Linked DNA regions of Arabidopsis thaliana. The protein of the gene in region 1 interacts with the protein of each later gene in a pairwise test. Each region holds a gene or a part of one and is shown in the gene's direction. Other genes may lie near its edges.

What was found.
Region 2: the proteins of ZFP3 (region 1) and AT4G00270 interact in a two-hybrid assay, tested with the Arabidopsis thaliana proteins (one large-scale study listed by BioGRID).
Region 3: the proteins of ZFP3 (region 1) and BT1 interact in a two-hybrid assay, tested with the Arabidopsis thaliana proteins (one large-scale study listed by BioGRID).
Region 4: the proteins of ZFP3 (region 1) and AT1G27280 interact in a two-hybrid assay, tested with the Arabidopsis thaliana proteins (one large-scale study listed by BioGRID).

What each region holds. Positions count from the first base shown.
Region 1 is NC_003076.8:8,683,354-8,691,076, forward strand, and holds ZFP3 (zinc finger protein 3), read left to right. Parts: upstream 1-3,834; 5' UTR 3,835-4,170; coding exon 4,171-4,878; 3' UTR 4,879-5,062; downstream 5,063-7,723. UniProt on the Arabidopsis thaliana protein: Acts as a negative regulator of abscisic acid (ABA) signaling during germination and early seedling development. Involved in the regulation of vegetative development and fertility. Modulates red light signaling in seedling photomorphogenesis.
Region 2 is NC_003075.7:114,957-123,086, reverse strand, and holds AT4G00270 (DNA-binding storekeeper protein-related transcriptional regulator), read left to right. Parts: upstream 1-4,443; 5' UTR 4,444-4,618; coding exon 4,619-4,852; intron 4,853-4,935; coding exon 4,936-5,610; 3' UTR 5,611-6,002; downstream 6,003-8,130. Other genes in the region: AT4G00280 (ER protein carbohydrate-binding protein), read left to right, coding at 236-274, 375-436, 564-678; MEE45 (Transcriptional factor B3 family protein), read right to left, coding at 6,036-6,335, 6,380-6,784, 6,860-6,981, 7,075-7,384, 7,464-7,573, 7,680-7,965, 8,063-8,116. UniProt on the Arabidopsis thaliana protein: DNA-binding protein, which specifically recognizes the GL1 enhancer sequence. May be involved in leaf initiation. May play redundant roles with GPL1 and GPL2 in cytokinin responses by regulating the transcript levels of type-A ARR response genes.
Region 3 is NC_003076.8:25,330,152-25,339,232, reverse strand, and holds BT1 (BTB and TAZ domain protein 1), read left to right. Parts: upstream 1-3,662; 5' UTR 3,663-3,833; coding exon 3,834-3,965; intron 3,966-4,059; coding exon 4,060-4,199; exon of another isoform or gene 4,200-4,528; coding exon of another isoform or gene 4,529-4,545; coding exon 4,546-4,849; intron 4,850-4,950; coding exon 4,951-5,285; coding exon of another isoform or gene 5,286-5,289; exon of another isoform or gene 5,290-5,561; coding exon 5,562-5,748; 3' UTR 5,749-6,061; downstream 6,062-9,081. Other genes in the region: AT5G63170 (GDSL-like Lipase/Acylhydrolase superfamily protein), read left to right, coding at 32-278, 371-534; AT5G63150 (uncharacterized protein), read right to left, coding at 8,573-8,989. UniProt on the Arabidopsis thaliana protein: May act as a substrate-specific adapter of an E3 ubiquitin-protein ligase complex (CUL3-RBX1-BTB) which mediates the ubiquitination and subsequent proteasomal degradation of target proteins. Also targeted for degradation by the 26S proteasome pathway.
Region 4 is NC_003070.9:9,469,659-9,476,923, forward strand, and holds AT1G27280 (Paired amphipathic helix (PAH2) superfamily protein), read left to right. Parts: upstream 1-4,368; coding exon 4,369-4,445; intron 4,446-4,537; coding exon 4,538-4,798; intron 4,799-4,906; coding exon 4,907-5,096; intron 5,097-5,182; coding exon 5,183-5,332; downstream 5,333-7,265. Other genes in the region: AT1G27260 (Paired amphipathic helix (PAH2) superfamily protein), read left to right, coding at 290-396, 473-742, 839-956, 1,059-1,160, 1,238-1,309; AT1G27270 (Paired amphipathic helix (PAH2) superfamily protein), read left to right, coding at 2,419-2,561, 2,645-2,938, 3,035-3,152, 3,239-3,340, 3,423-3,491.

The sequences.
Region 1 (7,723 bases):
ATATAAACTATTCAATACATGAAACAATATTATAACGGGTCAAAAATAGATTTAAGAAAACTTTCTACTGAGTACTGGGTCATAATATGAATATTTATATTCAATTTCATATATATTGTTTTGAAAATTTATAATCTTATATACTACAATAATTAATAACATATTAGATTTTTTTATGTGTATGATGTGATTCAATTTTTAATACAAGCTGGAAAATCCTAGAATTGACGGGTTTAGATCGATATTAATACAAGATGGTATACTACAGGTGAAACTCTAAAATTAACAATCAAAATACAAGTGTATAATTTTAAACACTAAACAATATAAATAATATCAACAAAACATATACAACTCGTAGTTTATTATACATTTAAAATCAAATAAAATAATATCGTATATTTATAATCATCTTTACAATAAAAGTTTTTAGTTTAACTAAAATATAAGCTTACATGCGGTATACTGCAAGTTAAAATTATAAATAAGCAAATTACCATCACGATGTTTGTACCTTCTCACATACACACCTATCAAAAACTTAAAACCTTTCAAGACCTCTTGGTATATTCAAATTAGGATTTCTTCATTCATGGAATCATTCTTCCAAGGGTTTTAGGATGTCCCATGAAATGATTTTGGCAGAAGAGGATGTAAAACTTTTCGAATAAAACGTAGACAGCAAAACATATGTTTTTTTGGGAGTTTTTAGATAATTAAATCAGAGAATGGGGCTGGGCATATGAGTAACCTATTCAAGTTCGGGTAGAACCCGTTCGGGTAGAACCCGTTCGGGTTTGGGATTAATGGGTATATGATTTACTACCCAATAGAATAATTCTAAATATTTGGTTCTGGTTCGGGTCGGGTCCATTTGGGTTTGCGTCAGTTTGGATAAAAAGTTTCAGGCCCTAAAAATACCCAAAAAAATTGAAACGGGTATTTTGTATGTAGATAGTGGGTCTCCAAACAAAAAAAACTTTTAGATTTGTTAAGTTTTAATAAATTTAATTATATTTGAATATATTTTACTAAATTTTGACAAACATAACACATAATTTTTGAATAGTTTAGTTGTTTTGGATATTTAGGTCCAAAATTAATTGACATATTTAGATTTATAATTATAATTTTAGATAATTAGATTATATTACGATTAAATATAATTAATATTTTGGATATTAAATTAATGTTTGGGTTTTTGAATACCCTCTTTGGATAAAGGGTAATTTCTGGACCAATCGGATATCCACGGGTTTACTAAAACTCTACCTAATAAGGAAATTTCCTAAAATTCTAACCCGCTCTAACCCGGTTTTTTGGTTCGGATAATGGATTGGTTATCGGGTCTGTTTTTTCGTGAGCCCTATCAAAGATAATCTAATATAGGGCCCAATTAGGTTCACAAATATAACCAAAACATTATACAAAAACTAATTTTAAGTTAGGCCAAAAATTAGATCTTTTAATACAAAGGAAACATGTTTCTTACTAGAACAACTTGTATACAAATTTTACACATTTACTTAAAATTATATATGTTGTATTTATTATAAAAATAATATTTTTAAACAAATTCAATCCAATGCAGCATTATATCCAAATAGTAAAAACATTGAAAAATATTATGACAACACTTTTATATTATACTATTTCTTATGTAATTCAAATAAAGTATACAATTTAGTTTATACACAATATTAATGTCCGTGCTATACAGCACGGGTTATGATCTAGTAATGATGTAATACACAACCTTATGTGGGAAACCAACAACAAGTAAACTATATATCAATTCAAATGACAGATTCACTGCTACACCACAGTTAAAAACAATCAATCATTTCTCATCGAAATAAATCTGCCATCAAATAATTCCAATGAGTTTTTTTTTTTTTGGATAAAATTCCAAAGAGGTTACTAGTGTGCATAACTCCACGTGGTAAGTAAACCCATAGTGGATGAATGTTATGTCTGCAATTGATAATATGTCAATTTTGGGTTAATTAGTTTTTAGTAATTTTTTACCAATAAAATTATTCCACTTTTAGAAAATAATCACTGCAGATTTGTAACTTTCGTTCACTTTGAAAACTTTTATTGAATTGAATAAATTTAGCTAATCATGTTAACTATTAGATTATAATAAGGCCCAAAAACACTTAGATGAACCCGGTTAGTGGTTAATACTTTTACTATATGATACTTAATTACTTACCGATAGCATTGACAGATTAAAAAATACACAAAAGCTTTGTCAAACAAAGAGATTTGAAAGACGAATCAAATCTCTCTACATACAGGGAAAATTATGAATAGCTACATGTCACCATCTGTTTAAAGTAAGATCCAATGTTCTCATCTGTATCTTTTGACTATGATTGATGACTATGTGACCTATATCATATAAATACAACGTGGTAAATTGTTATACTCATTAAGCTACCATAGTCCATAATACACTTTAATTTCCCAATTCACGATTTCACATTACTCACTAATCTAACATTTTATGATCAATCTATTGAGTATTGAGGATTGATGAAACAAAGAACGAAGGTATACTTAAATGGAGATGTCATATAACTCAGAAAGAACTTCACATATACATTTATTAAAGGAAAATTAGTTTTCTTATGAAAATAATTAGCCATTAATTAGAAACTGAAAACTCTTAATTAGCTTTTTCCCATTTTTGTGTCGGCCATATGTAACGTTGGACCCATCAACTAGGTCACAATTGGCATACGACAAATATACATAACTTTAAACCATTAGATCTTTTCTCTTTCATTACAAGCTAAAGTAATTCAAATTTAGCTAAATAAATTTAAACTAAAACTTTGGAAATGTGGTTTAGATTGTTATCAAAAGCTTAAGTGGGTTTGATCTTGCCGATGTGGCTTCCAAAAGAAAAGTATTAATTGGTTGAAGAAAGTGACTTTTGTCATGCAACCTAGTTGTATGTCATGATGTGAAATTAAGTGGGAAACCAAAATTCATATTGACAAATCCACTAAACTCTTTAGATGATAAAGTAGAAGAGCGTGTGGAAGTTTCAAATATCATTTCCTTTAAGATTACACAACAAGAGAAAGGTTGATCCATCATAAAGACGAAATATTCTTTAAGTCATATACATGGTCTACAATTTCTCACTAAGATACAAAGTAAAATCGATAAATATAATAATGAACGTACGAGTGGTTTCCAAGTTGTTCTAACCAGGTGCTTTGTCAAGATCATCGATCTATATTCTTACCCGAAATACTTACTTAACTATTATTACAAAGTTCGAATAACCAGTTCTTTTACTTTGTGATTAGTTTGAGCTTTGGTTTGACTCAATAGAAGACAAAAGAAAGAATAGATGAAGGAGAGGACCACACGAGAAGCCAAAGGAGACAGAAATGGTCACTTACCTCGTGGAGTTATACAAAAGTAGACATAAACAGACCTGAACAAATTTGGATGGTCCATGAACAGTACTCTTCCTTTTCAATTTTTATTGTCATCTTTCTCTTCTGTCATTTCATCATGATGTACTTACTATTTTGAGAAACTGCTTCGTTTTCCATTGTCTTTTCGATCCCTTAACTTCTTTTAGAAAATGTTCATACTTAAAATATTAAAGGATTCCTTAACATGCACTACAAAAAAAAAATTATTATGGATTGTGGATTACCAATGGTATAGTACTCATTTGGTTTACTTAGATATTTGGTCATTCATAAACTGAAAATCTAGAAACCCAAATAAATCTGAACCGGAATCAAAGCGAAATTTAAATTCTACACACTTAATGTATTTGTTGGACTATTGAAGGAGGAAGCAGCCAAAAAGGGTAAGAGTCATATATATAGATAGAGGTATTTAGATGGTGGAGTTCCAATCAACTAGCTTTAAAGTGTTTTGTGAGAAGGGTGTGACAGCAAACCAAACCTACCTATCGCTCTCATCATAGTACTTTGGTCCACTTATTACAAAACCCTAAGAAAATGTTCTAGTGTAGGGTCTTTGTTTCCTTTGTCTATTCCTTTCTAATACCATCTACTTCTGCTCCCATTCACTGATATAAACCTCTTCTCATAGCTATTATTGATAGAAAGAGACAGAGAAAGAGAAAGAAAAAAATCATCTCCTGAAAAAATCTATCCCTTTTTAGCTCTCATGGACGCTTCAATAGTTTCCTCATCCACTGCTTTTCCATATCAAGATTCTCTAAACCAGAGCATCGAAGACGAAGAAAGAGACGTTCATAATTCTAGTCACGAACTCAATCTCATCGACTGCATAGACGACACAACGAGTATCGTTAACGAATCTACAACATCCACAGAACAAAAGCTTTTCTCATGCAACTATTGTCAAAGAACTTTCTATAGCTCACAAGCACTTGGTGGTCACCAAAACGCACACAAGAGAGAGAGAACGTTGGCGAAGAGAGGACAACGTATGGCAGCGTCAGCCTCAGCTTTTGGACATCCTTACGGTTTCTCTCCACTTCCTTTCCACGGACAGTACAACAACCATAGGTCTTTAGGGATCCAAGCGCATTCGATAAGCCACAAGCTAAGTTCTTATAACGGGTTTGGTGGTCACTATGGTCAGATCAACTGGTCAAGACTTCCATTTGATCAACAACCAGCCATAGGTAAATTTCCCTCAATGGATAATTTTCATCATCATCATCATCAGATGATGATGATGGCTCCTTCAGTAAATTCACGGTCCAATAACATCGATAGCCCAAGCAACACAGGACGGGTTCTAGAAGGGTCACCGACTCTTGAACAATGGCACGGAGACAAAGGATTGTTGTTAAGTACAAGTCATCATGAAGAGCAGCAGAAACTTGACTTGTCCCTCAAGCTTTGAGATTCTTTTTCTTGATTCTTGAATTTAGTGTCTTTTTACTGTTTTTTCATGTGATTGTTAGTACTATTTTGTGTATATTTTTTTCTAGTAAAGATAATCTAATGTACATCTTTTTCACATATCTACTTTAGTCTGAGATTTGTAAACTATTAACTATACATTAATGGATTTCAAGTAGACATCCAACAACCGTATAAAGTATAGAGTAAAGGAAAAAAGAGAAGAAAAGTGAATATTGAGATCTGTGGGAAGATTTGATTTCAGAGTCACAAGAAAAAGGAATTAATATTATAATTCAAAGTTAGGTTACCTAAAAGTTAGAACAATCATTCTATTTGTTTAAAAGTTGCTAATAAGACATTTAAACAGAACAAAACAGATAGAAATAAACTATGAAGACAGTTGCTGTGTAGGATGATTGTGACACTAAAAGCAAAAGAGTACTAGAAGAAAAATTAAACACAATATCAAATACAATTCTTTGGTAGTATATACCAAAATACATGTAACGTTAAATAAACTAATAAAGCATCCAATGGGGTTCTCTTTGTTAGAGATTATTAGAAGGGCATCACATTGCTCCATATGTAAGAAAACATTAAAAGACAAAACTTGTCATAGATGTTGCTATCATCACTTCACGCGTGTTTTCGACAAATGGTCGAAACAGTATTCACCAAATAACCAAGAACTTCTCTCGACTAGCTAATCGACAAACCAATCAGATCAAGAACAAGCCAAGATCGTAAGTAGAAACCGAAGCAAACTATAAATGAACACTCACTATGATCTTTGAGAGTTACAAGAGAATTGAATAAAAAAAAAAATCATCATCATCTATCGAGCTCAATCTTGGCTCTTGAAACAGAGAAGGTAATTGTTTTAATAAAGTACTCCCAAAAATGAGAACACACACACTCTCCCTTAACAAGCTGCTTAACCACGATATTGAGCTTGTTTAGCTCTAGAATTAACCCTAAACCGGTTTAAACTTAAACATATCTTACATATTTGAATTAAACAAGGGTCTGTGATTGTCATATCTTTCTTTTTTTTTCATCAGTAACCATGATTTATTCGAGGAAAGAAATATTTGTTTGTATCCATCAAGAAGAAAAAGTGTCAGATAGTGAACCAAAAGTGACACAGTTCCATAAATAAATCAAAGAAAAACAAAGTTAGACAAGCACACATGGTACCATGCAGACCATGCATATATAATGTAACCAACCTGATGAGCCCTTCAATTTATCTTCATCAGTTTGGCCCCAAAACATGTCCTACTTACACTTGCCTGAAGACATGACTTATATATATATAAGTTAAGCCTCACCAAATATGAAATAGGATTTTATTATTGGTTACATATATAGAGCAAAGCGTCTCTAATCTTGGGCCACAAGCCCCATAGCTGAAAATGACTAAGCCGAAAACGACATTCTCCGACAGTTTTGAAGGTCCAGTGAAGGATGGTCCAATGGATTCTTAAATTACTAAATTTCTAATTTTTCGGAGGTATGAATTTGCAGATTTTTGGAGTTGCCGGTAAAATCACGTAACGCAGCTCAATCGTTCTTTGTTAGTGGGATATGACCGTTATAGACCCTTCATTTACATATCAAAGTAAGATATTATTTTTTCGGATGATTTATTATATTGAATGGAGAGAGTTTTTTGCTCATTATAAATTAAGATGTTATGTTACATGTTTTGACTAACTTTAAACGCGTAAATAATTGTTTATGTTAGTGTTGTTGTTGTATCACCACCACTTGAATTTAATTGAACTCGTATATTTCATTTCATTGTTAAAAAAGGTATCAGTTAATAATATTTTGCATCTAATATTTATATATGTTGCCGGTTAATTTTAGTCCTTTGTATAGTTGTGTGTGTACGAAGATGCCTGTCGTCGAGGAGGACATTATATGTTCGTTGGTTCAATAATAGCTTTGACAAAAACATCCGATTTTGGGAAGTAAACAGCTAAACACCCACAATGTCCACACCACGATTAATTACATATATATATGCTAAAAAAGAAATAAAATTATCTTTTCAAAAATCTCTAATGCTCGAATCATAATGAAAACAATGTACATAGTCGAAGAAACAACAAAGAAATAACGAAGAGAATGTCGGTTTTGAATTAGGTCGTCCACAACTCAATATGTTATATGTGATCTTAGAAAAGGAGCGAGATACTGAAGATAGACTTCTCCGGTAAACATTTTTTTTTAATGTAATGTTAAATTATATTATAAAAAAAAATTGGTACTCTGGTGAACATTGAAGTTCTTTTCAGCAGGATAATCAAAGGAAAAGAGGTTTGAAGAAGAAAAAAAATTGGTACTCTAGAAAAGTGTGATGACCAAGACCTACTCTATATCAATATATGGATCCCTTTCATTGTGCAAGGTGGAAAAATTATGGACTAAGAGAGTTTTTGGAGACTCTATTTGGAAGAAAATATAGTTAATCATTTAGTATTCAAGAAAGATTAAGAACACAAGTATAAAATAATAACTCTCTTTTATTATCTTTAGAAACTCTCTCAAAACCTAAAGTCTCAATCTCTCTCAAATCTCATAAGTTGTATCACAACATTGATACCTCCTTATATAACAAAGCTTTAACCTTACCCTAATGATTAGATAATTCTTAATATCATAAGATAACTCCAATAATATATTCTAGATATCTCCAAAAATAATAAAGTTCAATTTCCTTTTCTCTTCTTTAGTAACTTACGCCTCAAATTACTCTCCTCAAACTTATCCAACAAATCATACGTTATTTACTTGTCCCTTTCTTGTTTGGAAGATAAGTGCTCTGCCTTACTTTA
Region 2 (8,130 bases), on another chromosome or scaffold:
TGTAGAGACAAGGAATACTGATCCGGAAGCTACTTAGCTAGATGGATCCAGAAATCTGTGTTTTTGGGAAATTACAGAAAATCGTGATGACTTGTTAGGTTTCAAGAGAAAAATGTTTCATATTGGCCTTGCTTTTATTTCTTTCCTTCTAGTTTCTGTTTAACAGGTAGGTATTTATAGGGTTCTAACAATTCCTATGTACAGGAAAAGATCAATTCAATATGTTAAGCAGAAAATGGCTCGTTTGATGTGGTTTGCAGTGCATGATCAATTAGTTCAGCTCAACTTTTGCTGTTTAGTTTATTCCCTTTTTATTAATACAAAACTTGAAACTCTTTATTGGACGTGATGTGAGTGAGTGGGTAAGTCATAAGGAAGATTTGGAAGAAGGCCGGGAAGTATCTTCACTCGTACCATCTCTGCAACCGATGAAAACGTATCAATGAAATGGATCATTTCTTGTTGAGTACATACAAATTTTTCTTTCCAACACCATTGAAACTGGTTTGGAAAAGGCATTGTTTCAAACTAAGTTCTCTTGAGAAACAGTTTCAAAACTTTAGGAGCTTCCCTCAAGGCAACAGAAACTGTTACAATGTGCAGCCTCCGCAGGGAAAAGGCTTCGAGTATTTGATCATAACCCGTTTTGTTAATGAGGTTGAACCTATCACCATATAAGCTATTTAGAACTCTTGTCATTGCTGAATATGTTTGCGAATCCATTCTATTGTGTGTTTCTTCGTTTTGTAATAACTCTGGTTATGAGTTTTGAGTAGAGAGACATTCAAAAAGGAAGCACATTTACAAAGTCCTAAAAGTTCATTACAGTCATCGACCAAAAGGCTTGTTAAACAACTTAGCTAATTCATTACAACCATCGACCAAAGACAACTTAGCTAATTCTCACACGAGAATCCAAAGTCCTAAAAGTTCATTAACGTAGACAGAGAGACGAATCCTAAGTTAGATAACAAAAGAAGGCATTACATCTCCATTTAAACCCGAGATTAAAAACCGATAAACCTATAATACAATCCAATAGCTTCCTCTTCTTCTTCTTAGTTGGTTTGAGCAAGCACCGAAGTCACCTCCTTCAAAACATCCATCTTCTCCAACAACAACTCACATTTCTTAGCGTCCACAAGCTTCATCTACATTAGCATGCATGACTTAATATAAAGGTGAGAAGAAAGGCGAAGCTTCTTAAATTGATGGGACTTTACACCAAAATGAGAGGTGTAGAGTGGAACACATTTCGCTTTCTATTTTGAATTCGAGAATATCATACACCTGATGAGGTATATGTATTATCATTCAAGCTTAAAGATTTTTATAATATATTAAGATAAGCCATATTCATCGATGGTGTTTTTTTCAATGTGTTTTGTCAATTGGAGCTGAAGGATGGAGATTAAATTGATGCAATGTTGTATCAACAAAATGGTTATGGTCCTCTTCTATAAGTATTTAGAGTTTGAATGTTTCAGGTGTGAATGTCAAGTAGAAGACTACATGCACGAGTCAACCGTTCTTTAACATAAATCTTAATTATAAATATTAAAAGAAAAAATAAATACATGAATGGTGTCTTGGTATTAGGAGCACTACAGAGACAACTCAACTGATTTTAAATAACAAAAATCTTAAATATAAATCTTAAAACAAAAAAAAAATACAAAAATGATATTTTGATAACATGAGCATTATATGCACATATATCAACTGATTTTAAATAACCAAAATTTTAAATATAGATATTAAATAAAAAATAAAAATAAATGAATGATGTTTTGGTAATAGGAGGATTACATGCATGAGTCAACTGTTGTTTAATTAACATAAATCTTAACTATAGATATTAAATGAAAAATGAAAATACATAAATGATGTTTTGGTAATAGGAGGACTACATGCACGAGTCAACTGTTGTTTAAATAACATAAATCTTAAATATAGATATTAAATGAAAATACATGAATGTTGTTTTGGTAATAAGAGGACTACATGCACGAGTCAACTATTGTTTAAATAACATAAATCTTAATTATAAATATTAAAATAAAAAATAAATACATGAATGGTGTCTTGGTATCAGGAGCACTACATAGGCAAGTCAACTGATTTTAAATAACAAAAATTTTAAATATAAATCTTAAAACAAAAAAATACAAAAATGATATTTTGGTAAATGGACCACTATATGCACATATATCAACTGATTTTAAATAACAAAAATTTTAAATATAGATATTAAATAAAAAATAAAAATACATGAATGATGTTTTGGTAATAAGAGGACTACATGCATGAGTCAACTATTGTTTAACTAACATAAATCTTAATTATATATTAAATGAAAATACATGAATGTTGTTTTGGTAATAAGAGGACTACATGCACGAGTCAACTATTGTTTTAAAAACATAAATCTTAATTATAAATATTAAAATAAAAAATAAAATACATGAATGGTGACTTGGTATCAAGAGCACTACATAGGCAAGTCAACTGATTTTAAATAACAAAAATCTTTAATCTCTTAAAACAAAAAAAAATACAAAAATTATATTTTGGTAACAGGAGCACTATATGCACATATATCAACTAATTTTAAAATAACAAAATTTTTAAATATAGATATTAAATAAAAAATGAAAATACATGAATAATATTTTGGTAATAGGAGTACTTCATGCACAAGTCAACTGTTGTTTAAATAACATAAATCTTAGTTATAAATATTAAATAAAAAATAAAATACATAAATGGTGTCTTGGTAACAGGAACACTACATAAACATGTCAACTGATTTTAAATAACAAAATCTTAAAATAAATATTAAAATAAAAATGATAATACATGAATAGTGTCTTGGTAATAGGAGGAATACATAGAAAGATACACTGATTTTAAATAATAAAATATGAAATAAAAATACATAAATGATGTATTGGTAACATAAGCACTACATGCACATGTCAACTGATTTTAAATAACAAAAATGTTATGTTAAAACAAAAATAAAAATACATGAATGATGTCTTGGTAAGAGAAGGACTGCATGCATAGATCAACTGTTTTTAAATAACAGAAATCTTAACTCTAAATATTAAAACAAAAAGGAAAATACAGAAATAATGTCTTGATAATAGGAGCACTATATGCAAAGGTAAACATGTATTTTTTCTGCTTCCCTCCCATTCAAAGCCTTAATCAATGAAGTTTTGGCTAAAAGAATGATCTTTGACCGATGGAGTATTGTGTCGCTTGATGTGATCTTTTTACATTAGAATTGTGGTCATTTGTCTCAGGGAAAAGAGGAGCTATACAATATAACAAGAGGTCCTTCTTGAGGTGGTGAAGATCATAAAGAAGCACGGTTACGTTCCTTTTGTAATATTCCTTGGATCTCGAAATCGAGTACAAGTTCCTATCATGCTAATGGCGGAGATGGATGAAGGCATTTTACATTGTAATCTGTTCATTTAATTTGGATTGCTTTCATTGTTTCATTTGTTTGACATACATAGACACTAATAGTTGAGGATTATGTATTTACAACAATAAAGTGTTCCACTACACAAGGTACAATCGATATATATATAGTGTTAACTCTCATTTGTGTATATATGCATATCAGTTTGTAGGTGTTACTATGATAGTAGTACATTTATTAATTTATAAAAATTTATACGTAAAATACAATATTAATTTTTTAAAAAGAAAAATTTTAATTTAGTTTTTCTTTATGTTTTATTGTTTGTATATTCTGTTAGATTTTTTTTTATTACTTTTTTTATTTTTTCTCTGTAAGATATTGTGCATGTATACGACGTTAACGTGAGACTTAATCCAATTTTTTATTACACAAATCTTAACAATGATTTTTCATATAAAAAAAGTTACAAAACCAAATATGACGGATCAAATACGCAAAGAGTTATGTGAATACAAAAGAGATCACACCAACTATACTCTAGAAAGAGTTGCAATTATGACTTGAACAAAAGTTTCATATAAAATTAGTCTTTGAATGTATGCTAAAGATTTATGATTATTAATTTTATGATATTACTGGTACCATATTTTTACATAGGGATTTCAAAAAAAATATTATCTTATTATCTTATCGATTTTGGTTAATTTTTACATTACCCCGATTTGAGACCGACAAAATTTATTAATTTATCGTGTAATATGTTTTGTTCAAATACCTTTTAATATCTATTTAATAATAAAAAAATATTCAATCAGAAATGGATAATATATAATATAATTATTTACTTAAAATATATCAGCAATGAATCTTAAAATGTAGAAAAAACTAAATTTTAATTTATTATATAAAAAAGGTAGATAAAATATTTTATACTATTAAGTGACTAAAATGATAGATTTTTGCAAGAGCAAAATTGTACTATTGATGAATATTAAACAGTAGAAAAAAAGATGAAAGTGTTTGTTTTGTTATGAATGTTGAGAAAAGTATGGCCAAGTGTTACTCATCCTATTTTGCTTTTCTTTTTCTCTCGGGTTTCACTTTTTAAAGGTCGTGAAGATTGGGAATCACTGCTCTGCATGCGCCCTAGAATCAGCAAGTCTAAAGCAAGCAATAAGCATGGTGACTCCGAAGCAGATCGATTTCTCTTCCTGTGTTGGTGCTGATAACTCCAACGGTACCCTCTCCCATCGAAGATCTCCACGGAATATTCCTTCCTCAAAGCGTGCTGCTTCCGTCGCAGAAGAAGAGACTATGAAGAAGAAGATGAAGATGAAGAAGAAGAAGAAGAAATTGGATCCGCCGTTGATCGTCCGGATCTGGAACGAGGAAGATGAGCTCTCTATCTTAAAGGTATTGTATTGATCTTCTCCATTTATAGTTTGATTTGGTTTTGCATTGTGATTTTCTAAAACCAGATTTTCGAAATTGCTCAGGGGTTAGTTGATTACAGAGCTAAGACAGGATTCAATCCCAAAATTGATTGGGATGCGTTTTGTAGTTTCCTCGGAAGTTCTATCGTTGAGAGATTCTCCAAGGATCAGGTTTTGAGTAAAATCAGGAAGTTGAAAAGGAGGTTTCATGTTCACTCGGAGAAAATCAATCAAGGGAATGATCCCAAATTTACTAGGTCTAGTGATTCTGAAGCCTTTGGGTTTTCTTCGATGATTTGGGGACAAGGTGATGATGATGGTATGGATAAGGAGCACGAGGTAAACGGAAATGGTGCAGCGGAAAACCGGACTAACGAGAGCGGGGAGGAGATGTTGAAGGAGCACGAGGAGGAAGTGGCTAATACTGAACTTTTAAATGAGAATGGGGCAGCCAAAACAACAGAGAATGGGACTAGTAGTGGAAAAGAGAGACATGATGAGGACAATGATGATGATGATGAGTTATGCGCGGTGCAGGATGCATTTGAGGCGGTGATGTCGCAAGGTTTAAGTGGTTATCAAAAGAAGTTGCAGCTTGAGAAGCTGATGAACCTTGGAAATGGTAAAAGAAGAGAGTTGAGTGATGAATGGAAAGCGTTATGTGTTGAGGAAACAAGATTCAATATCAAGAAGCTTAGATTTTCCGCCAAGCTTGCAGAGGCAGCTAATGATAGTTAGATGAAACCAATATGCCCTTGTAGCATTTGGTGTTGTTTAGGTTCTTAGTAAGTCATAAGCTCTAGTCTGTTCAGTGTATTTATCTTTGGATCCTGTCTTTCTTCTACTTGGGCAAGTGTTTGTAAGATATTCCACTTTTTACTCAAGTATCCACAAGAGCCAATGTAGTAGAGTGGCTTGTGCAAGAGTCTAGAGTCTAGGGTTAATAATGTGCTTTAAGGCATGCTTGTGTGTGTGCCTAAGAGTGTAGTGAAGTAGTATAAGTAAGAGTGTGTGTGTGTCTTGTAATATTATCCAAGATATTAACAATGTAGAAGATTAAAAGAAAAATGGTTTTTGTTCTTACTCTCTAAGACAATGAAACCTTAAGAGTTATATCTTACCAAATAAAAGAGTCAAACATTGATTCATTTCAATATAGAGTTTCATTTGATTTCTAGCTTCACCTTGGAGCAGAACTTAAGGACGCAACTTGTTTCTTCTTCCCAAATCAGTTCCAACATGATGGATTCGTTTGCCTTCACATCGTTAGCTTGGATGAATCCTTGCCATCCTCCTACCATTCGTAGTCTTTTTCTTTTGTCGTCCTCGAACCGCAGAGTCGTTAACCACTTCACACCATGTTTATCCAACAGAGTCATTTTAGTTTCTTCATTGATACCATTCATCCTCGTGAAAGGAACCGGAAGACGCTGAAACATAGATTCACACAAAAGATTCTCATTCTATAGACTGTTAAAAGACAATGGCTTGGAATGATGAAACGTACCAGTAGAGAACTTTGGATTGTATAAGGTGTTAGAGTTAATGTCACAAATCGGTTTTCGGATAGTAAAGACTTTCTTCTTGAGATTTTCTCGTCGTGGATACTCTCTTCATCGCTTTCTTGCTCTGTCGAAAGAGAGACTACTTCATTAGCTTCTTCTGGCTCGTTGGGGATCAAACGTAGAACAAGAGTTGCTCTTTTCTTTATCAGTTTGAGAGTTATGATACTTCCAGCTCTTAGTCCATTGGCACTACAGAAACTTCTCCATCCTCGTTTGATGAGAGAAGTTCCGGATGATTTCTTTACTTTCAAATCTAAAGTCCATGATTTTCCCTTTTCATTAATCAGAATCATCTCTCCACATCTTTTGTCTACACCATTTTCCCTCATAAAACGCTTTGGAAGATACTGGAACAATACAACATAAGTTTCAGACACTAGAATGAGAGTTTCTTTTGGGATTCAAAAGTAAGAGTAGAATACCAGTGTGTCATAGCGTAGACTCGAAGGGGAGACATTAGCCACAAAACAAGAGGGATCTTGTGAAGAAGACTCTGCCTCTCTTGTTACATTCTTCTTCACTTTCTCCTTCCTTTGAATCTTTTCTGAAAAAAAGAAAGAAATAAAATCCATATGAGCACGTTTCTTGAATGTCAAGTATCATGGGCAGAGTTAGAGAAAGAAAGAACAGAACTCACCAAGGTTGCGCTCTGCATCGCTTTCCGGTTCTTCGGGAAGAGACACTTCATTAGCTTCCTCTTTTGGCTCATTGGGTAACAAACGTAGAACAAGAGTTCCTGCTCTTTTGATCAGTTTGAAAGTGTAGTTATCTCCAGCTTTAAGCCCATTGGCATCACAAAAACTCACCCACCCTCCTCTAACATAAACTGTTCCGTTTGATGGCTTTTGTCTCAAGTTAAAATTCCATGATCTGCCCTTTTCATTCATCAGAACAATCTCTCCAGATCCGACTACACCATTATCCCTCACAAAACCCCTTGGAAATCTCTGAAAAATTCATTAGAATACAACATGAGTTCAGACCCTAGAATGAGAGTTTCTTTTCGGGTTCTTAAGAGTCAAATACCATCAAGTCATAACGTAGACTCGAAGGCGCAACATTAGCCACAAAACAAGAGGGATCTCGTGAAGAAGACTCTGCTTCTCCATTTGGATTCTCCTTCACTTTCTTTTTCTCTGAAAAATAAGTGTTATATAGTCAAACTGGTTATCTCTACTCACTGATCCACATTCCAAAAGCAAACCACGTTTCTTGAAGAGCCAGAGACAGAACACAACTCACCGTCACCGAGGTTGTTCTTTTCGACTGAACACGAACCATATTGAATCCCACAACAACTAGGTCCCAACAGTGTTACATGGAAAGCCAAGTCACTCTCTTGTCTGAAAACAACAATGTCACCGATTCGAAGATCATGTGAGACAGCAAACTCTTTCCAACCGTCGGTGAGTCTCTGGCCATCTATCTTCACTTCCCAAGTTCTCTTTGACGCGTCTGATCTCAGCTTCGCCGTCTTCTGCTCATATCTTCCTTCTATATACTTCAAGAAGAAGGCTACAGGAATTGTCTGAAGCAACATGCAAATACAAAACCAGACTCATCTTTAGCTTCTCAGAGAGACATAGACAGAGATAGAAGAAGGGAAAGAGCGAGAAAGAGAGTACCAAGGAGGCGTGGAAGCCAGGAAGAAGAGGCTTGAAGAAATGTTGATGCGCCATTTTCAAAATCTTGA
Region 3 (9,081 bases), about 17 Mb from region 1:
TTCCATTATGGACAAAACAATATTGATATAGGAATTATATAATTTGGGAGCAAGAAAATTCGCGATTATGGGAACATTACCATTGGGTTGCTTGCCGGGAGCAAGCAATGCTCTTGGAGGTTTATGTCTAGAACCCGCAAACGCAGTGGCTAGACTCTTTAATAGGAAGTTAGCGGATGAAGTCAACAACCTCAACTCGATGCTCCCAGGTTCTCGTTCGATATACGTCGACATGTATAATCCTCTCCTCGAACTTGTCAAAAACCCTCTAAGATCAGGTAAAGTCTAAATCACCAAAATCTTTACTGCTATAAAATTTTCAATTCTTGTGAATCAATTTTTCATGATCATATTTTTGGTTTTTTTTAAGGATTTATCTCGCCAACTAGACCTTGTTGTTGTGCTCCGGCGGCTCCCATACCGTGCTTGGATGCGTCTCGTTATGTGTTTTGGGACATTGCACATCCATCGGAGAAAGCTTATCAGACAATTATTCCTCCGATTATCCAACAAATTCAACAAAGCTTCGCTTGATTTGGGTGTCTTTGTCTATTCGACGATTATTCTATTTATGTGTATATAAAAGATATATTATTCTTGTAAGTGTAACATGTTGCTTATGATTATCTTATCAATGAATACATCTTAACTATTTATATATTAAAACACCTCAATATATAGTGCCTCCATGTACATACACAATCGTTGTTTCCAGGTCGTACTGCCCTTAAATCTTTTCTTCTATTTTTGGGCCCTTTTGAAAGGTTTTAGACCCAATTGTTTCTGAGCTTACTTAGAAACTGCACACAGCTTCTATAAAATCAACATGAAGCCCACAAATTTGTTTATAGTTTGACCAAGTTCAAAGATTATTTTAAAAGGCTAGACTAGCACCAAACAAAACTACCCGCCACGCCACATTGAGAATTTGTGAGCCGCACAAAGATCTGTTTTATTTTGTTCTACTTTAATTTATTTACTTTGTTGTGTTCCAAATAGAAAATACAAACTTATTTCCAATTAGGCAATTAGCATAAATGTTTAGAAGGAAAAAAAATGAAGAAGATAAGTTTCTAAATATTCCGAGTCAGCGCCTCGTCAACGTGTGGTTAGGGTTGGCTCCGAAGACCATGGGAAGCTGGTCAGGTCAACGGTCATCCCGATTTTTGAGTTAGTCAACCATTTATTGTAAAAATTAAAATTTTAATCTTGGTAACATATTTGATGAACAATAATAATAATAAAAAAACTAGATATTTAAACTGAATGTGTTGAGCATGTTATTTTTTCGTGTTAGACTTTTATGTCAAACCATAAAAATTATTTATTGGAGAATGTATATGGAAATATACACTAATATACATCTTTCTCCAACTAGACTATACACACAATTAAAAACATTAAAAATCTACTGTTTTCAGTTTTTATAAGTACATCGCTGATTCATGATACTTCATACTTGGCTACTTGCATTATATAAATGGGCAATATATATCCAAAGTCCAAACTCAAAGGATAAGATCGGAGTATAAACATGCACATCAATCTCCAGTGCTTCAGAGTTCAAGTGGAATACAAACAATTTTAGAATAGAAAGTGTTCAGTAATATTTTAATTTCTAAACCCTTAAATGTGTTGGGAAGAATCTTACATGAAATCATCAAATCCATTAGTTTATTAACACTTTTCACTTTTCTCTTCCGTCGAAACTTATCCACAAGTTTTGGATTTTGATGTTTCGTTTTCTTAAAGAGCCATTTGTGAATACTTAAAGTTATAACAACAACATGATTAATATATCGAATATACATATACTTGTAGAGTTAATGAAAGGAAAACACCCCCGACATCTTATAATAAAATGTTATAAAACTAAAAAGTGTACATAAACTACTACTCTGAAACCTTAACACATTAATTTTCCAATAGTTAGAAACTTAGAATAGTTATATGGCCTTATGAGATGTCTACACTAGTTGTTAAATGTCAACACGGATATTGAAATTTCTTGGAACTGATTCTGAATTCGTTTAAGTACTTCGTTTAAGAGCTTGATGCGCAACATAAAGCTCTTATTTGACACGTGTCATGATGTTAATGGTTAAGCTTGACTGCCATATTGGCCTAGACTACCAGATTTGCCACGTGTAATATATGCGGCGAAATTTATTTCATTCTTCGATAAGTTCTTCAACATCCTATGATGTTCAGGCATTCTTAAACCACAATTAACAAAGGCCAGTGGCAGAAATGGATAAATGAGAGAATGACAAGTGGATAGACAAGAGGGCTTGAGAGTGGATGAGGATCAACAAGCCACGTAGACGAGGAGGTGGGCTCTTGGGAAGAGGCAAGGGTCGGTTTACTTCAATAACCACCCTTTCTCAAACTTAGAATAATACTACTATCAGCACTTTTTCTACATCACAAAGGCAAATTTCTTGACCGGTTTTATCACTTTTCCCACGTAGGATCAATAAAAAAAGATAAACATTCGTGACTTCATGAATCATGGGGACAAACATCCTACATGGTACCAAAAGTAAAATACATTACTTGTTTTATTGTCATCCCAAACATTACAAAGGGCCAAAGGCAATATTATTTCTAGATACTTTCAGTGGAAAGTATTAATATATGTGTGTAATGTTGGGAATAAAATATAGTCGACATTGGTGTATCGAAAGGTCCATTTAAAAACATAATATATTGTAATGATCTATAGGTTAGATCCTGTTGGTATATCAGGTTGGGAATAAGAAAATACTTTTGTTATACAATGTATTATAGAATATGTTGTGTTAGGGGGCACTGCGGCTATTTGACAATGTTTGAGGCATATTAGTCCTAGGGAAGTTTATAATAAGCTGCATCACCAAATCCTTTATACATATCTAAGCGTAGTAAGATGAATGTAACTGATCATAGATTTTAACATATGATATGAGCTCTGAATGGAGAAAATATATTTATCTAATTAAATAAAATATGTCATTCGGGTCCAAAAATGATATGCAGACTTAAATTTTCAAACTATTCAAACTAGGAAAATAAAATTGAACTTATCTTCTGGAGATTTTTTTTTTTTTAAATTGTGCTTTGTATATTTATTAGTCCAATATAAACATAAATGAGATAAGTACACATAGGCTTTTTGTTGTTGGGTTTGTTCACATTTGTTAGTTCTTTTTTTCTGTCAAACAGTAGTATATTTTCAGTTTTTCTGCTTCAAATTTTGTAAGCAAGAAGTTCTGTTTCATTTTAGTTTATAAAAATTTATAACAACATGTAACTATATGCTTTTAAAGTAGACTCAAATACTGGGTGTTATCTGTGTATAGATTAAGATACAACTAATTGTATCTGTGTCTTAGTGTCTATATATACGATTATCTATTTATCAAAACGGAAAAACCATAGCCAATTACTTGCATTTGGGTTGGTGTTAAAGACAACCGCAAATTATTTATCAATGAATCATAACTTATCTCAGAGAAATACAGATCTGAGACCCCAAAACTCCTGAATATACAGTTCACTACTTTTATTTCCAATTATTCTGGTTACCAAAAAAACAGAGATTAATTGACATACACGCATCTACAAAGGCGCGTAGGGTAAAACAGAAACAAAAACAAGATATTTATCATAAAAAAATGCCACGTGTTATTAACAAGTAATCAAAAAGGACCAGACTTCGTTGAGCTGTGTCTATAAAATCCAGAGAAGCAATGCCCTCAAGCTTCTCCATCATCAAATTAAAACCCTCCAGCCTCCAACAACAAAATTTACCAACACTCTCTCTTTCTCTTTCTCTCTGAAAACTTAAAACGATGGCTATAACCGCCACTCAAAACGACGGCGTTTCACTAAACGCCAATAAGATTTCGTATGATCTTGTGGAAACTGATGTTGAGATCATCACCTCCGGTCGTCGTAGTATTCCGGCACACTCCGGCATCCTCGTAAGTTTCTTTTCTTCTTACTTTCTTTGTATGATCGAATATTTTTTTATTTTGGTGCTTATCTTTTTTGTTTGTTTAAAATTGTTAAATGCAGGCTTCGGTCTCACCGGTACTGACGAACATCATCGAGAAGCCGAGGAAGATTCACGGCGGATCATCGAAGAAAGTTATTAAGATTCTCGGTGTTCCATGCGACGCCGTTTCAGTCTTCGTCAGATTCCTCTATTCTCCGAGGTTCGTCTTTCTCTCTTTTTCATATCTTCTTGATCGTCAGATTTTTTTTTTTAATCCGTAGATTTATTACTTCAAAAATACAAATCATACTAAAAAGAATGCTTGATTAAATACATCATCTTAAAGATCTTTACCAAACTCGACTTTTCCAACGTTTTAATCATACATTAAAATCACTACAACCAGATTGCGATTGATTTAGACTTGTTTCATATTCAAAAACGTGTGAAACACAACACAAGGAACACGAAACTAGTACCAACATCAAATTTGAATAAATCAACGGCAAATTTTACCCTTAGTATGCAAAATGACTAGAATACCCCTATATGTATCTTTTGTTTAGTGTCACGGAGAATGAGATGGAAAAATACGGAATCCATCTACTGGCTTTATCACACGTGTATATGGTGACTCAGTTAAAGCAACGGTGCACTAAAGGCGTCGGTGAGAGAGTAACCGCCGAAAACGTTGTCGATATTCTCCAGCTGGCTCGTCTCTGCGACGCACCTGACCTCTGTCTCAAGTGTATGCGATTCATTCACTACAAGTTCAAGACCGTTGAACAGACAGAAGGATGGAAGTTTCTTCAAGAACACGATCCTTTTCTTGAACTTGACATTCTCCAATTCATCGACGATGCAGAATCGGTAATTAACTCAAACCACACTTTTTTGTTTTCTTTTTTTTTGGTTCTTCAAGAAAACTCTGTTTTATTGAATTAGGTTTCTTTTGGGTCAATTTCTTGCAGAGGAAGAAAAGAAGAAGGAGACACAGACGAGAACAGAATCTGTATTTGCAGCTGAGTGAAGCCATGGAATGTATAGAACACATATGCACCGAAGGTTGCACACTGGTCGGACCATCGTCTAACTTAGACAACAAGTCAACATGTCAAGCAAAACCCGGTCCATGCAGTGCGTTTTCGACTTGTTACGGACTTCAACTTCTTATACGTCACTTTGCAGTATGCAAGAAAAGAGTCGATGGCAAAGGTTGTGTCCGATGCAAGAGAATGATTCAACTCCTTAGACTCCATTCTTCGATTTGTGACCAATCTGAATCTTGCCGTGTCCCTCTTTGCAGGTAAAAATCCGACATTTTAGAATAATCAAAACCACATTTTAAATGTTTCTAATGATAAAAGTTTTTCACTTTTCGATAGTAGATCTCATTTGATTTTTTTTTAACTTTCGGCGCCAATAATAATTATCTTTTTGTGGTGGTAGCCTACTTATTAGATGATGAGTCGTGATCGGACGGCTGGAAATATTTTGTTTGGTAGAATTATTAAAAGATATTTTAAGAAATGAGAATCTGATCTCGTTGTCAACTTTTTATTTGTTTTGGTGATTGGAGTAGGCAATATAAGAATAGAGGTGAAAAGGACAAGAAAATGGTTGAGGACACGAAGTGGAAGGTTCTGGTGAGAAGAGTAGCGTCTGCTAAAGCCATGTCTTCGTTGTCTCAATCAAAGAAGAAAAAAAGTGAAGTGTTATTTAAAGAAGAAGCAGAAGATTTGATCAGAATCCGGAACAAGTTAATGTGAATATACAATATATGTGTTTTTATTAGATTATATAGTGAGCGATTGTTAGAAGCCATTAATTACTTGAGTCGGAAGGTTTATTTGTTTGTTATTTGTCTCTCGGACTGGTTGATTGGGTTAAACTTGTCAATGAGTAACCCTTTGAATCTGTCGTTTTGTTTGGTCGGTCGAATTATATAGAAATGTATTATTGGTTATAAAATGGTATTAGGGTTTTTGGAGACTTTGTGGCAAAAAGTATACAGATTGATCCGGTTTAAACTAGCTAACGTCAAACGCAAAAGGATTACTGAATCTAAAGTAATGTGACAAGATGGAAACAAAATAATTATTCTCTTTGTAGTTGATTGGTCATGCCAAATTATATGACTAGACCTGGTTGCATATGAATCACAAAAAATCTAAATGAGATTCAAGTTGGATCGGTCTAATCAATCACAATAGCTTCAACCATGCATGATACAAAGGAGAATTTTGATGGAAATAATAGAAATTCAATATTGGAGATCAAAATTGACCAACCGGTCTTAGTCACTGGTATAGTGGAAGGTTGATCATGATTGAGGATTCAAAAGCAAACAAGGCAAATTATTAGAAAAAAACATGTGCTTATAATTAGTTAAAACAGAGATATTTTTATTAAATTCTTCATTCATACTTGGGTTCGACTGGAAAAAGGAAAGACGCGTGGGGGACAGATGAACCACGCAATGTGGTTTCGTGTCGGATGTCAATTACTCTTACATTTCAGTTCATACTTCTTAACTACCAGATGAATGCACTTAATAAAAAAAAAATCAAATACAAGAATTGTTCTTTTGAAATGGAAATGAATATTTTCATGTTATAACACGAGTTTTGACATAAAAAGGTTAAACAACTCGAGCAAGTTCATTCACTAAAGTTTCAACATGAAACTTATTCTAAATTGTTATTTTTACATATTTTGAAGAAAAAAAACAAAAAAGAAGATGACAATATCAACCCGTAAAGCTTTCTGAGTAGTGGAGCAATGCAGTCACCGATGTTTTAATACTAACGACAACAATGATTCTTATCATGACGATAGAGGTGACTAAAGATTCGACCACGTATGAATTAAAGAAAAGAATGTTTACATACGAACGACAAAAAAGATTCTTATCAGGAGTAATGACACAGAATAAGTGAGTGGTGACTAAAGATTTAACCAAAGACTTGGATGAGCTGGAGTAAGCAAAGACTTGGAAGCATCCTGCAGGTTCCGTGGAGGTAAAGAGTCATGGGAGTGATACGATTAATTATGCATTGTTTGATATTTTGACTTGTGAGCGACGATGTGTTCCTGTGATTGAGAATTATATGACCTAGAGATGTTCTAGAGGCTCTCTTGTGTAAACAGTGTATCGGTTCTTGTGGTTAAGGAATGAAAGAGATTCATAGCTCTAACTTTAACATTCAGTTTTAGGTGTTAGCACTGAATAAGATATTTATCTCTGATCTTCTGACGTTTCTCGACATTTTGTTGTATTATTACTTTGTTAGTACTTAGTACCAATAAAGAGATATTTATAGCAAATGTAGATTTTTTCCCATTATTTGATATATTAAATTCAACTAAGATATGCAATGCAATAGAAAAGAAAAAAACAGAGTAATCGGGTGTGAATGTTAGTAGACATGAATCACTAACGTTGTCACACATGAACTAATCATATAAATCCTTTAAGCTACATAAACACCATCATCTTGGTCTAAAAATCAGAAGAAATGCTCTGTTTCATTGAGAAAGAAAAAGAACTGATATGATCCAAAAGCAACGAACAGTTGCTAGTAGATTCAAGATCATAACCCATTATTCTCTAAGGTACACAGCCTTAGCAAATGAACGAATCACAAAAAAACAAGAATGTCCAAAACCAATGCAATTAAAACTCAAGAGTTGGAACTTGGAACAACAACGCTATTGAAGCAGAGAAGAATGATAATAAAATCTATTAATACTAGTAATCAAACTTGGAAAAGATTAATGTCACTCTTCTGATGTAGATTACTACAAGTTTATAGTGCAAGTCTTTGAATGCCAACACAGAGAGACTAGTATGACTCACACTAACTATGTCTGCAAATTCTGCATTTTTGAGCTTTGATAATTGTTACAACCATTTCTAGCTTTACAACTAAATAGAACATCAGTATCCTCTTCATCTAACTGACTAACTCAAGACATAGAAGTTGATAACAATCTGAAGATACCAACCATCCGCATCAACTGCAATAAACATTGAATTTCTAAAAGCGATTGTGAATCAGTACCTGGATAACAATGGAACTTTACCCTAAGATATCATCTAAGGTTCCATGTGATCCAGAGTACACCAGTTAAAGCTTAAAGAAGTAATCTCATTGCGACACCTAACTCTACAATCAAACCAGGTTAAATACCCTTAGCGGGTCTCCAAGCAAATGACACATGAAAAGTACACACTGATAACGTTTATACAATCACTAAGAACTGATAATGAAATGAAGAATTCATGCTAGCTTAGTGCATAGAGGAAAGAAACAAACTTGGAGCATCCAACTAGCAAGAAAACTCAAGACAGCAAATTGGCAAATCCTATAGAATTCAAAATCATAAAGACATACTGCACCAGTGTGTGAATTGAGCAAACGTTTTATTAGAAATGTGTTGTCAAGACAAACGATGAACACAGACTAATGACAATGCAATGGAATTTAGAAATTTTTTGTTCTGATTCAATAAAAAAGGTTCATCCTTTGAATCCCAGTAATTCAGAAGACATGAAAGGAGCAAACTTCTCACCGGAATAGTAAAAAAAATCTATGACTTGCGACCAAGCTGTTTCCTGAGTTTCCTATACTTGTGCTTGTTCATCTTCTTCTTCCTCTTCTTCTTCACACTATCAGCGTAAATCACAATCTCCTTCGTATCCTCTTCCTCCTCCTCCAACGACGCTGTTTCAGCTAGATCCAGACCTTGAATCATTTTGGGATTCAAGCATAACCCCATGGAGAAACTAGGGTAAAACCGCATAGGTTGATTGGATTCATTCCCGGAGAGTGTAATCAAAGGATTAGTAAAAGAAACTGGATCGGGTTTCTCAATAACAGAGTCGATGTTGTTGTTGTTGTTGAAGTAGGGCTTCTGGTAAGTGAAGAGAGAAGGAGTAGTAGTAAGCCTTTGGATTGAATTGAAGCAAGACTTGTTCCTGAGGAATCTAGGAATTAGATTCGCCATTGCAGAGATCAAAAACCCTAAGAAACCAAAAGCTCGTCAAACACGAGTGAAAATGACGACGGGTTGAAACTTATTAACGTCGCCGTTTCGCA
Region 4 (7,265 bases), on another chromosome or scaffold:
TCAATTTTGAATGTGATTATTTCTTGTTTCTTGATCAGCACGTCTTGTTGTTTTCTTTCTATCGAGATTGATTCAAGATGTTCTTAAAGATCTTGTTCGATGAAATCTACATGAGTTTGTCTTCTATTAGATGAACATTACATGAATCATCCATATCTGCAAAGATTTTGAGTTTCTTATACCTAGACGAACTAAGTTCTCCATCTTGTTGTTGTGGTTCTGTTTTTTTGAAGGATTCTAAAGTTAATTTCACACCGTGGTTGGAAGAAGCTTATCACCGGAGGTAACTATGAATAAAGCTTTTGCATACATCATTGCTGTGAGGGACAGATTTCGTGATGAACCTGCAAAATATCGACAGTTTCTAAGCCTCTTGCGTGATCGTCGAGCTCGTAGGTATGTTTAAAAGTATATAGAGCACGCACATGTGACTATGTGAGAATTGATTCTGATGTTATTATTTTCTTTGTAGAATCGATAAAGCTACTTTCTTTGTAGGGCTGGTGGAGCTCATTAAAGATCACTTGGATCTGCTTCTTGGTTTTAATGCCTTACTTCCAGCTAGGTTTCAGATACCCATCACACCAGCTGGATTTCAAAACGTGGTTGGAAGAAGCGTACCACCGGAGACAACTATCGAGGATGCGACTTCATACCTCAACTCTGTGAAGAGAGCATTTCATGATGAACCTGCAAAATATGAGGAACTTCTTAAGCTCTTGAATGATATTGAAGCTCGTAGGTATGAGTTGTTTTCTTCATGTTATGTTCGATTTACTCAGTCTAACCAACAAACACGCATGTGAATTGATTCTAATGTTACTAAGTCTCTTTGTAGAGTCGATGCTGCTAGTTTCATTGCAAGTGTGGAAGAACTCATGAAAGATCACCAGACTCTGCTTAATGGTTTCAGTGTCTTCCTTTCAGCTGAAATGAAGTTTATCAGGAAGCTTAAGGTATAGACTGCTAAATTTGGTATACTAAGCCTGAAGAAAACCATTTTGATGTTTCCAATTTGTTAACTTGCGGCTTAAGTAACAAAATGGTTTCGTGTGCAGGCAAAGTTTCAGGGCGATGGTAGTCATGTAGCTGACTCTGTTCTTCAGATATTGAGAATGTACAGTGAGGGAAACAAGTCCAAAAGTGAGGCGTTCCAGGAGGTATGGTTCTTGGTTGAGTCACTTTGTGTTTTGCTTTCTTAGTTCTCTGGTTTGATTTGCTTTGTTATCGTTTGCAGGTCGTTCCACTTGTTCAGGATCATGAAGATTTAGTCATGGAGCTTATAAAAATTATTTTCAGTGATCCATAGAGTCTAGAGATAGGCAAGGACGGTACCGGAAGACTGTTTATACCTTCAGAGACAAAAATATGAGTAGAGCTTCTAATGAGAAGAGAGTGTTTTTAGTTTTCTTTGTAAACATTTGAGTTTAGCTTTGATTAACATGACATTCACAAATATGCTATGCTTCTATGCTCAATGAATTGGTGTATAAGATACTAAAAGATAGTGTATAGTTTCTTTTGTAGAGCTTTCTTTAATATCAAAATGTTTTTTTCACTTAATATTTTCTGGTTATCTTTGGGGTCATCTTTTAATAGAAACTGAGAGGAGAAACACTCAAAATCAGAGTTCAACGTTGAAACAATAACAGAGAGGAACAGAGCAAACCAAACAAGAATTACTTGAGTAAATACAGAGCAAACCAAAGAAATTTTAGTAAATCTAATGACAACAAATATGTTTTCTAAATTATTGTATAAATTACGAATTGATAAAATATTTTATTATCATATTGAAGAAAGCTTTTAAAATTTCAGATTCACAAATTTTACAAATTACAGTTTTACAACAACAAAAAGAAATGAAGTCAATATGATAATCCCCTACTATAAATATAGACTCGTGAATAAAACTCAAATCAGTCTCTGAGGTTTTGGTGAGAGAAAAAAAGAACTCAAAACAGAGTGCGTTTGTTTCTGGGAATCTTGAAGCCTCTCCCACTTGCGAAGACGAAGCTTGCTCGTTAGGTAGTTTTCTTCTTCTTCTTCTTCGTTTCAATTCCTTTTTCGTTCATGTGAAATGTGAAATCATGTGACGTGACGATTAGGTTAACGATCGAATGTCTTGATCTCGTATATGATTCTTTTCTAGTTTCTTGATCGGCACGTCTTGTTGTTTTCTTTCTATCGAGACTGATTCTAGATGTTCTTAAGGATCTTGTTGGATGAAATTTACATGAATCTGTATTCTAGAAGATGAACTTTGCATGAATCACGACGAACTGATTTAGTTGTTGCTGTAGATTAAGTTTCTCGAGATAGATTCGAGATACACGAAGGGTTTCAATGAATAATCTGATCTGTTTCGATGAACAATAATCTTTATCTTTGACTTATGGATTAGGCTAATTTGACACCATGGTTGGAAAAAGCAAATCACCAGAGTTCAATTTCGAAGATGGGATGGCATACTTCGATGCTGTGAAGGTCGCATTGCAGGATACTGAACCTGAAAAATATCAAGAGTTTGTAAGAATCTTTATTGATTATACTGCTAATAGGTATGTTTTGGTTTGCTCTTCAACAGTTTAGAGAACAAAGACACATGTGAGAATTGATTCTGATGTTATTTTTCTCTTTATAGATTCGGTTTCGAAACTTTGAGTGCAAGCTTGCAGGAACTCCTGAGAGATCACGCGAATCTGTGTCATGGTTCAAATGTCTTACTTCCTTTTAGGTTGCAGACAGCCATCCCTCCCGAGGCTAGCGCAGAGTTTCACATCAATAAGGTGGTTGGAAGAAGCGTACCACCGGCGGTGGCGGTGCCTACCATGGATGATGCGACTTCTTACCTCAATGCTGTGAAGGAAGCATTTCATGATGAACCTGCAAAATATATGGAAATTACTAAGCTCTTGACTGATCTTAAAGCTCGTAGGTATGAATTGTTTTCTCCATGTTATGTTTGATTTTCTCAATTTACACAACAAACACACATGTGAATTGATTCTGATATTACTAAGTCTCTTTGTAGAATCAATGCCGCTAGTGTCATTGCAAGGATGGAGGAACTCTTGAAAGATCACTTGAATCTGCTTCTTGGTTTCTGTGTCTTCCTTTCACCTACAAGGAGGTTTATCACGAAGCTTAAGGTAATAGAGTGCTTAAATGCTTATAGTTACTGGATGTTTCTTATATGTTAACTTGTGATTTAAGTAACAAAATTGTGGATGTGCAGGCAAGGTTTCTGGGCGATGGTAGTCAAGTAGTTGACTCAGTTCTCCAGATATTGAGAATGCACAGTGAGGGAAACAAGTCCAAAGATGAGGCGTCTCAGGAGGTATGGTTCTTTGTGGGACACTTTGTGTTGTGTGTTGCACTTTCTTAGTTCTTTGGTTTGATTTGCTTGTTACCTTTTGCAGGTCCGTGCACTTATTCAGGGTCATGAAGATTTACTCATGGAGCTTTCAGAAATTTTCAGTGATCCATAGAGTCTAGAGATAGCTAAGGACAGTACTGGAAGACTATATACCTTAAGAGACGAAAACATTTGAGTTTAGGTTTGATTAACATGACATTCACAAATATGCTATGCTTCTATGTTCAATGAATTGCTGTGTAAGAGACTAAAAGAAAGTGTATTTGTAGAGCTTTCTTTGATATCAAATGTTTTTTTCACTTAATATTTTCTGGTTATCTTTGGGGTCATCTTTTAATAGAAACTGAGAGGAGAAACACTCAAAAACAGAGTTCAACGTAGAAACAAAAACAGAGAGGAACAGAGCCAAAAACTACAGAGCAAACCAAATAAGAATCAAGTAATTCTAATAACAAATATATTTTCTAATTTAAGTAAACCTTATATGAATTACGAAATTGATATACTCCCTAGTATAAATATAGACTCGTGAACAAAAACTCTATGCAGTCTTGAGGTTTTTACTTTGCTTCTAGAAATCTTGAACTCCTTACTCTGCGAAGACGAAGACGAAGCTTCTTCTTGTTCATCATTGCTGCTTTGCTCTGCTTATATCGGTAGCCATACTTGGTTCCTCTTTCGATTTATCATTTGTTTCGTTCAGTTGATATGTCAATTCACCAGACGATTAGGGTTACGATCGAGTTTTCTGGTTCTCTGCTTTCAAATCGTTCCTCAATCTAGGGTTCTTGAGGAAGTAGATCGATATTTATTGCACTTGGCTCTGTTTCTTGAAAAACTTTAAAGAAATAGCTTTGAGATAGTAGATGGATTCAAATGATGTGATCTGACCTGTTTGGATTATAACAATGGTTTTAGGTCACACCATGGATGGAAGAAGCGTACCATTAGAGTTAACTAAGGATGATGAATACTCATAACTCGGTTCTATGGAGGAAGTATATCATGATGAACCTGAAAAATTTAATCATATTCTCCACCTCATACGTGATTATTTTAATCATAGGTATGTCTTGATTTCCCCCGGTTATGTCTGGTTTGTTCTTAAACAAATACAGATGTGAAATTGATTCTCATGTTTCTTATTCTCTTGTGTAGAGACGATAGAGCTAGAATCACTGCATGTATGGGGGAACTCATGAGAGATCACTTGAACCTGCTTGTTCGTTTCTTTGACTTCTTTCCAGCTGAGGCTAGCGAAGGGTTAGCCCAACTTCAAACCATTGCTGCAACAAGCGTATCACCGGATTCTACTATTGATGATGCGGTTTCATACATCAACACTGTCAAGGAAGCATTTCATGATGAACCTGCAAAGTATTACGAGTTTTTCCAGCTCTTTTATGATATCAGGTATAGGTATGTATTGTTGTGTCCCTCTTCAATTCTGTTTGCCCTTAATTTCAAGTCTCAATCTATACAACATTGTGAAGTGATTCTGTTTGTTATATACTATTCTCTTTGTAGATTAATTGATGTTGCTGGTGGCATTACAAGGGTGGAGGAACTCTTGAAAGCTCACAAGAATCTGCTTGTCCGTTTGAATGCCTTCCTTCCACCTGAGGCTCAGAGAATCCTCCATCTCAAGATTGAGCAACGGGCTGCATCTGATATTAACAAAAGAAAACGTGTAGCGAGTTTTATCGGCAAGCTTAAGGTATAGAGTGCTAAAATACTAAAACTAATCCTTACCATTTACCATTTTGATGTTCCATCTATGCTAACAGATCCGTCGATGTACAGGAAAGGTTCCAGGGGGATGATCGTCATGTATATGAGTCGTTTCTCGAGATATTGACAATGTACCAAGAAGGAAACAAGTCCGTGAATGACTTGTACCAGGAGGTAGGGTTCTTGGTTGGGACACTTTGGTTGGATTACACTTTCTCTTAGTTCTTTGGTTTGATTTGCTTTGTTGTCTTTGCGGGTCGTTGCACTTCTTGAGGGTCATGAAGATTTAGTCATGGGGTTTGCAGACGTTTTCAAGAGACCCACTGATCCATCAGGGTCAAAATCTGCTAGAGATAGCTAAGTACATTAGAAGACTGTCTCTGCTTTAGTATAGGATGCTTTGAATATAATGCATGTTTGGGGTATAAGAGACAAAAAGAGTAGTTCTTTCTAATGAGAAGTGAGTGTATAGTTTTCATATGAGATTAGTTTGATTCTTACTCCATAGAGAACATGATGTCATGATATGCAAATATGCTTTTATATTTGAGGTGTAGATTGATTGGATATAAGCGACTAAAAGAGAGTGTATAGTTTCTTCTGACATGTACATGTATGATATTTTCCTCGTTACCAAGAAGACATGAGATTTTGGGGTCATCTTAGTTCAACGTAGAAACAAAAACATAGAGAAACAGAGCCTTAGCACAAACCTATAAATGACCAAAAAGTACAAAGCAAACCAAACAAAAATATAGTAGTACCAATTACCAAATATGTTTATCAATATAGTAAATCGGGTAATTCAAGTGAATTGCTGGTCTCACACATGGCACGAGGCTTCTTGCTTGCAAGTGAAGCTACAGTCAAATTCTGCTAGCGTACTTGATCAAAAGATATATGTAGCAGGATGCTGTAAGGATGGCGATTCGAATTCCTATTAAAACTTGATGGAGGTGTTCGACACAAAAACACAGACTTGCGATCCTAAGCCAATCCCTTGCAGCGAGACATTTGGCGGCTTTGACTACAAAACTCTATGTCTTGACGGAAAGTTCCACGTAGGACCAGTACCTGTTGATAAAACAAGGATTAGATTGGCTGATTATGGTGGAAAGAGGGCAGTTTTGTGGCCTAATAATATTCACTCGCTTAGGAAGATGATTTGGTGTGCAGAGGTTACGCTTGAAAAGCGCAAAAGTGGTGAAATATGGGGGAAAGTTGAGTGGTTTGTGTAGAGTATATAAGTAAAGGATAGTTTAATAAATCATTAATCCCTAATTCATTCTAATGTAGTCACTATATATATTGTAATTATATCATCTAATGAATTATTCAGCCTTCAATACTATATGGTATCAGAGCTTTAAACGATCCCTAAACCTAAATCTAGCCGCTACTCTGTTTTTCATCATTTTTCATTATTTTTCTTTCTCTTCAATGGCTTCTGAGACTGTCATTACATCTGATTCAACCAGTCTTCTCAACGTCAATATGACTAATGTTACCAAACTCACGTCCTCTAACTTTCTCATGTGGAGGCGTCAAGTTCAAGCTCTACTCAACGGCTACGATCTCACCGGCTACATTGACGGCTCCATTGTCGTCCCACCTGCAACCATCACTGCAAATGGTGCAGTTACGGTCAATCCTGCCTTCAAGCACTGGCAAAGGCAAGATCAACTCATTTACAGTGCTCTACTAGGCGCTATTTCAATCTCGGTTCAACCGATCCTCTCCCGAACAACAACATCTGCTGAAATTTGGACTAAGCTGATGGACACATATGCTAAACCCAGCTGGTCTCACATCCAACAATTACGACAACAGATCAAGCAATGGAAGAAGGACACCAAATCCATCGATGAATTCTTCCAAGGCTTGGTGATGCGATTTGATCAACTAGCTCTCCTTGGCAAGCCGATGGAGAGTGAGGAACAGATGGAAGTCATTGTGGAAGGGCTCTCCGATGACTACAAACAGGTCATTGACCAAATTCAAGGTCGTGAGGTACCTCCCTCTCTCACTGAAATTCACGAGAAGTTACTTAATCATGAAGTGAAACTTCAAGCTGCGGCATCGTCTCTTCCGATCTCTGCAAATGCTGCAAGTTATCGTCCTCCAGCCAACAACAAGCATAACAACTCCAACAACT